Ovis aries: one gene and its partner. The protein of the gene in region 1 purifies or fractionates together with the protein of each later gene. This does not show direct contact. Links are inferred from orthologs where the notes say so. Each region holds a gene or a part of one and is shown on either strand. Other genes may lie near its edges. The genes, in order: RAB6B and SLC12A4.

Region 1 (4,305 bases):
AATGTATATTGTATATATATGTATGGAAATATACAATGGAGAAAACACAGTCTCTTCAATAAGTGGAACAGTTGTACTGACTTGGGTTCTAGATATTCACCCAAACATTCAACAATTATTTCCTAAGCTCAAAGTTAAGTCTTTGGGATTCAGCAGTGGAGACTCAACTGCTGATCTGGAACTCATCCTATAGTTTTTAATAAGCAATGAGAGAAAGATTCTAAGTAATAAACCAGGGAGTCAGACAGGAAGACATTCCAAGCCAGCTATGTAAGTCAAAAAGAGCAACAAATGCCCCCTAGAAAACTCCAGAGATGAAGGTTGCTTCTCACCTTTCTCTCTGAATGAAACACACACACACACACACACACAAACTTGTTCCCTAACATCTAGGGTATAATCCCAAATGAACATTCATTGAACGGCCCTAAAAGAACAGACCACCTGCCTGCAGCACAGCAGAAGCAGCTTGGTGAAACCTCAGTTACCCAGAATGCTAGGACCCGGTTGGGAGAGCATCTAATGCCTGGCACCTGCTCCTTGTTCTCACCCACTCACAAATTATCTGTGTGCCTTAACAGGTCAGGTGAATGTAAAGGCAAATGGGAGGTCTCCCTCCTGTCCTCTGGGAGCTCATTGTCCAGATACGTCTAATTGCCAGGGCAAGGAGTGGTGGTGTCAGCCCAGAGATCCCAAGGTCCAGGGATCCAGGGATCCATCCTGGAGATGGAGGAGCTGACATTCGGGGCCTCGTTCCTCTTCTCTCCCACGGGTCATTAGGTTTAGGATAAAGTGGTGCTTAGGAGCGGTTGAAGCAGGGTGCTCCTTTTATCGGAGCTCCTCTCCAGTTGGGCATGTCTGTGGGTGGGTGGGGGGGACACCTATGACTCTACAGAGGGGCCCAAGAGGAGGGATCTGGAGAGAAGAGAGGAGGGAGGGCCAGACACACGTACAAGATGCCAGTAGAGCCGGTCTGCGCCCACACGGTCCACCACACCCTGGCTCACCGACCCTCCCCCCCGCTCCCCGCCCCCCGCCCCCCGCCCTGACTTCTTTCATTTTCACCCTCTCGGATGGCTGGGCTGTGTGTATCAGTGTCGCAGGGGTAGAAAGAAGGGGTAACATCTAGGTTTAATTAACAAATATCCCTTGACAATTTCACGTCATTTTCTGCATTCAAAAGGGAGATGGAGTGGGGAAGACAGACGCAGTGGGGCAATGAGAGAGGGTCCGATTCGGTAGCCTCTTCAAGGAACGGCTGAGCGACCCTCTCTCGCCCGAGTGCGGGCTCCGGGTGGGTGGACTGACGCCCCTCAGCCCCGCAGCGCCACGGGCCCCGCATGACATCAGAGGCTAGGGAGCGCGCAGAGCGCAGGCGCGGGCGGAGAAGCAAGGCGGGAGGGGGGCCGACTGGTGCGGCTCGGGAGAGCGCTCCTCCGCCCCGCGCGCCTGAGCCCCGCTCCGCCCGATCCTCGCAGTCTGCGCCGCGCCTCGGGCGTCCAGAGCGCGCCGCATCAAGCGCCGCCTGCGGCCGCCCAGCCCCATCCTTCCTCCTCCTCCTCCTTATCTTTCTCCTCCTCCTCCGCCACCGGACACGCAGCCGCAGGCCGGGGCCGGGACGCAGCTGGGGAGCCAGGGACGCGCGCAGCCAGCCCTTCCCCCTCCGGCTCCCGCACCGCCGGCCGCCTCCCCTCGCCCTCCTCCTCTCCCCTCCCTGCTCCTTCGCTTCTCCTCCTCCTCCTCTCCCAGCCCCAGCTGCCAGCACCATGTCCGCAGGGGGAGATTTTGGAAACCCACTGAGAAAATTCAAGTTGGTCTTCCTGGGGGAGCAGAGCGGTAAGTACCCCGCTTATTCCCCGGGTTTGGAGTCGAGCCCACCCCCGCCGCCAAATCATCCACCCCACTGGGACCCCGACCTCGGCTCGAAAAGGCCCCTCGGTGCCCGGGTAGAGAAGAGGTTTGGGGATGGGGAGGTCGTGGCCGGCTCGGAGGGGCCGGCAGGGGAGGCTCCAGGCGTAAGGGACGACGAGGCGCTGGGGCCAGAGGTGGGGGCGAGGGTGGGATCTGGGGTGGGGGCTCGGGGTGCGGCGCGCCGGGGACACCGGAGGGCGGCGGCTCGCTCGGCGGCGCCGGCCGCGGGCGTGAAGGCTCCGGGCTCGCTGGCTCGCTCGCACTGCGGCACCGGCTGCGGGCGACCGCGCAGGTGGCGGGGCGCCGATGAGGGTCGCAGGGAGGGCGATTGCACCTCTTTAGAGAACGAGACGGCACTGGCGTCTGGCCGCTCCCCAAACCGCGGCACCGGAGGGGCTCCCTGGGGCCCCTGACGGGAACCGTAATTGCAGACACGTCCAGGCCCTGGGGCAGACGGCCGCGGCGAGAAGACCGACATCTGTCTCTTCTGAAAAGAGCAGGTGCAGATCGTCGGGGAACAGGGCGCCCACCTCCCCTGACTTACGTCCGACTGGGCACCGAATGTTCTAGACCCGTCGCCCTTCGCTGCTGTGTATTAGCCGCTTTCGGGCTCAGGGGTCTGAGCGATGACAGCAGGGGGTCCCCAGTGCAGGGCAGATTTGGGGGATGGAACCGGGGCGCCTTGCACCGAGAGCCGCGAAGCCCGGCGCTGGGCAGAGAAAGGACCAGGCGACACGCCCTGCCTGGCTTCCCAGCACCCCTCCCAAGAGCGTTCTCGGCGGATTCTTCCAACCCCCACCTCCCAGCTCACCGCCCTTCTTGGGGGAGGGGAGGCCACCGTGGCAGCGGGCCAGGGGCCAGGGAGACGAGGAGACAAACGGCTTTCCTGCTGTCTGGTAGCTCCCCCGGGGAAAGCGTCTCTGAAAGCCAGGTTAGTCCTGAGGAGGGAAGACCAGCCTGAAGAGCATGGAGCCTCTGACACTTGTAGGAAGGAGTGGTTCTCAGAGCATCCCTGCAGAGGCCTCTCACCTGAGGCTGCGGGGAGACAGGCTGGGCCCTGACCTGCTCTGGGAGAAGGCTGTCTCTGGAGGCAGGACCACCAGCTGTAGCTCTACAAACCAGTCCGGTTCACCTGGTCTAGTGCCTGTCTGTACAAGGGGCCGCAACACACACAATCTTGGGAGGACCTGGTGAGCTCCAGGTGCTGCTGTGATATGTGTGTACATATTGCTTGTGGAGGTCACATGACAGTCGCCTGCCTGCCGCTGCTCATTAGCTGGGATGCAGGGATGGCTCCGAGAAGGGTGTCAGAAGGTGGCCAAGCTCTGACATGGGTTTTAGGGCCAAGCTGGGCATTTCTGAGCAAGATGAACTCAGCCAGCCAGCCCTGTGTCCTGGACTTTTGAGTTTCTGATCTTAGTAGATTCCAGTTTCACAAAACTAACTTTTTCTTGTGCCTAAAGGGATTTGGGAGTAGAGGGATTGGTCTTCACATTACAGGGCTAATCCAACCGGTGCTAGAGCCCTGGGAGTTGAATTCTTAGCTGTGTTCCCTTGAGGAGATTTCGAAGCCTTTCTGAGCCTTAGTTTCTGTCTCTGTAAGATGGTTGCCTGAGGGTCGTTTTCTTACCCCTTCATGTTTCCTCAGTGTCTCTCAAAGGGCTGGACCCTGAGAGGTTGTCAGTAAACACAGTTTTATTCCAAGTCTGAATATGCTTCAGTGAAGGAGGTTTGGTGAGGAGAATGCATCTGGTGTATTTGAGTGAAAACTCTGGGCTCCCTCAGAACCTCTGATGGGCTGAGGCCCCTGATGAGCTCTGCAAACCACCTTTGCACCTAAAATCACAGAAACAAGAGCTGAAGCCCTCAGAGCGTGAGCCCCCATGTTTATAAGGGAAGCCCAGCATGTTTATAAGGATAGGGTGTGGACCCAGAGGTCTATTGTGAGTTGCTAACACTTCTGGGACTGAAACTCGTGTCTCCTGTTCCCGGTCACTAACATGCCATTGGGAAATGAGGTGACCTTGAATTGGGAAAGCCAAGAATTGGGAATCTTTAATCTAGGAGGTGGTGGTTACCAAACTCTGGCCAGGATTATGGCTGGGTTGGGTGACCTGGTGGGAATGCCAGGCTAGTCGTTTGGGATCATGGTTTCTGAGCCCTTTGAACATGGTCATTAGGAGAAAAGGCACTGCCATTAGCCACATTGATTCTTTCTGGCAGGGAGCTCTAAGGCCCTGAAGACTCCTCCCACTTTATTAGGTCATTAGTGGGTTATTTACCTTCAATTTTACAGAGCTTTGGGGTCCCCGAGTTATGCAGGGGACATGTGCATCCCTGAGCCTGACGAAACAGAAAAATTACCACCACAACCATGACTTCCATCTTGCCTGC
Region 2 (2,981 bases), on another chromosome or scaffold:
TGTGGTGGAGCCCAGGCCCTGTGTCTCACACACCAATAAAGGTCTTCCAGGCGCGTGGGTCCTCGCTCTGTCGCCAGCCGTAGGGCCAGCCCAGCACCACGGTGTTGTGCCTCATGCCACCCAGGCCACAAGACTGGATGAGGTGAGCCAGCCCCTCCCGCACCTTGCTGGCCACTACCACCTGGCAGAAGCCCTTCACCTTCTCAATCTCCATCATGTTCTTGATTGTCTGTAGGGAACATACCCGGGTCAGAAGGCAAGGCCATCCATGTCCCCTCTGCTGGGTTCCCTGCCCAGGCCCCAGGGTACAGAGCTGCTTGGTGGTGGGGGAGAAGATGGGGGCAAGCTGCCCACCCAGAGGCCATGCTTGCAAGATGGAACCTTCATACCCACCTGGCTCCCGCTCTCAGCTCACCTGGCTGGCCAGGACTGGTCCCCTCCCCTATGCACCAGCTACAGCCCAGACATCTCCAGTCTGGTTTAGGGTCCTCCTACCCCTGACTCCCGCCCCAGCAGTACCTGCTCAGCGGCCTGGGCCTCTCCGTAGCTCTCCAAGAAGCTGCCCTGGATGACAGAACCGACGATGGTCAGGCCCTTGCCAGCTTTAAGCTGGGAGGCGAAAGTGAGGAGCCGCGGGTACTTCACATGAAGGTCCTCATCTAGCTTCAGCAACACCAGTAGCTGAGGCCTGAGTGGCCGGATGGAGAGGCAGCCTGAGATCAGGGCCCGAGATCTGCAGGGAGCCCAGCTCCCTCCTCTCTTGGCTCCCAGGCCCCCTCAGGTAGCAGTGATCCAAGGGCCCGATAAGCAGGATGGTGCCCCTGGCAGCTCAGGACAGGGAACACGGACTAGGGAGGGAAGCCAGCACCTCGTGACTCTCCCCTCTCACAGGGTCGCCCCCTGAAAACCTCGACTGTCCCCGCCAGGCCCGGGTGACTCACCGCCAGTTCTTGGTGTGAGGAGGGCCCTCCTCTAGCCGCAACAAGGCATAGCGGGCAGCGCTCAGGGACAGGCCTCGGATCCCATCGCCCCATTCCTTCTCAGCCCTGCAGAAGCCCCCAAAGGCTGATGGGTAAACCCCTAGGACTTGTGTCCATGTGTATGTGGGATGGAAGGGACCAGGCCCAAGTCACAGCCCCGCAACCCCCGTGCCATGGTGGCTTAAAGAAGGATGGCTCAGCTTCCCACACCCAACTACAGCCCAGCCCAGCAGCCCTGAGCACCCGAGTGGGTGCTCCCACACTCACCCTTGGTACTCAATGTACTTGTAGATCATGCCGGCGATGAGCATGGCAACCAGGGCATAGTACCAGGAGGAGACAAACATCAAGGCCAGGCAGAGGCTCATGCCCAGGAAGGACAGCGCCCTGGGCCAGAGATGGGAAAAGGGCCAGAGTCAGGGAAGGACCTCCCAGTCTCCCAATAGAAACTGTTGCCCAGAAAGTTCAAACCCCATCCAGAATGGTTTCCCACATAACTCTCATGTCAGAGAACCTGGCTCAGGGGCCCAGCTGGCACGTACCAGTGATAGTACTTGAACCGAGGCCGCCAGTTGGGGGTCCTCAGGAGTGTCTGCACAGCACAGGCCAGGTTCACAAACAGGTAGCACATCAGGAAGAACCTGCGGCACAGGGAGCAGCTGGGACTGAGCGGCCCGCTTGGTAGCCAGGTGCCCGAAGTCCCGGACCCTCCCCAGCCTGGGCCTAGGTGAGGAGCCGAGACTGTCACAGCCCTGCCCGGCACAGTCAGGCAGGTCGTCTCGGCCTCACTTTGCCCACGCCCCGGGCCAGATGTGGATGGGACATTGTGGTGGTGCCTGCAGAGCCTGGTCTCAGAGGATGTTGAGACCACGAGGGGGTTGCGGACAGGGGGAACAGCTGTGGAAGAGGATGGTATAAAGGGAAGTTCAATGCCTGGATGCAGCTAGACAAAAGCCAGGCCTCTGGCCTGGGGGACCAGTTGGATGAGGGGCTGTCATGAGTGTGGGGAGAGGGCGTCCAAAGAGGGCCATTTAGAGTCACTGCATTAGAGACACTTGAGGGACACTTCAGTGGGTGTGGGAGACCAGGATGGAAGAGGCCTACTGCTTGAGCCCCCCAAGAAAGACAGGAAAGGCAGAGGGCTGAGGGGAGTGGCTGCCCACTTCTACCCTCAGCTGGTGGGTGAGGAAGGACAGACAAGGAGGCAGCAGGGCTGACGAGAGAGGGCAGGCCGGGGGCAGGGACTCTCACAGTAGGGGCATGCTCAGTCCCGTTAGGGCTACAGGAGAAGCAGCCTCAGCATCAAGGCTGACACATCCTGACATGGGTGTTAAGGGGCCACCGCCTGAGACAACTGCGGCAAGGGTAGTTTCAGGTGTAGGTGGAGCTGGGCGGAGGTGTGTTGGGGGAACAGGGGAGCACTGACTCCGGCAGGCCTGGCTGTGGCTGGGAGGCGCAGCTTCAGGGGGAAGGGAGCTCTGTCAGTCCTACCAGCCGAGTGGGGTGGTAAAGGGTGGCTCAGACACAATGGAACAAGCAAGAGGGCACTGGCTGTGGAGCAAGGCGTGTGAGGAGGGCACAGTGGCCCTGGCACTGGTGGAGGTGAGCAGAACGAGGACACTAACTGTCTCTGAGACCCCTGGAAACTGCTGCGTGTTTGCCACCTCCTGCAGGGCACTGGCAGGTTCAAATGCCCAGCTGACTCCAGAACTTTAAAAGCAAGCAACTTGAAAACAGGTGTATGGACAGTGGCGGCTCATCAAGGGGGCTGAGATTGCTGCTTGCCCGTCCCTGCTCTGGGTATCTCCCATAGAGGCACAAGGGACCTACTGGTCTCTTTAAAACATCTGAGTAAGCACTGGAAGGCAGAGGTTCAGAAGGTTGAGCTCTGCTAGGCAAACATCCCCCAACAGCCTAACCCGTCTGCCAGCTGCATCCTCAACCCTAGACAGGGTCACAGACGAGTTGCTGGGCAGAGCTCCCGGCTAGGGTGTGGCTGAG

Evidence for each region.
Region 2: the proteins of RAB6B (region 1) and SLC12A4 purify together in Homo sapiens (co-immunoprecipitation; 3 studies listed by BioGRID and IntAct, with this or other methods). This does not show direct contact. The link is inferred for Ovis aries from reciprocal best matches to the Homo sapiens genes RAB6B and SLC12A4.

What each region holds. Positions count from the first base shown.
Region 1 is NC_056054.1:256,108,068-256,112,372, forward strand, and holds the start of RAB6B (ras-related protein Rab-6B), read left to right. Parts: upstream 1-1,366; 5' UTR 1,367-1,766; coding exon 1,767-1,836; intron 1,837-4,305. UniProt on the Homo sapiens protein: The small GTPases Rab are key regulators of intracellular membrane trafficking, from the formation of transport vesicles to their fusion with membranes. Rabs cycle between active GTP-bound and inactive GDP-bound states.
Region 2 is NC_056067.1:34,989,898-34,992,878, forward strand, and holds part of SLC12A4 (solute carrier family 12 member 4), read right to left. Parts: intron 1,622-2,981; coding exon 1,523-1,621; intron 1,368-1,522; coding exon 1,248-1,367; intron 1,047-1,247; coding exon 942-1,046; intron 689-941; coding exon 520-688; intron 230-519; coding exon 34-229; intron 1-33. UniProt on the Homo sapiens protein: Mediates electroneutral potassium-chloride cotransport when activated by cell swelling. May contribute to cell volume homeostasis in single cells. May be involved in the regulation of basolateral Cl(-) exit in NaCl absorbing epithelia.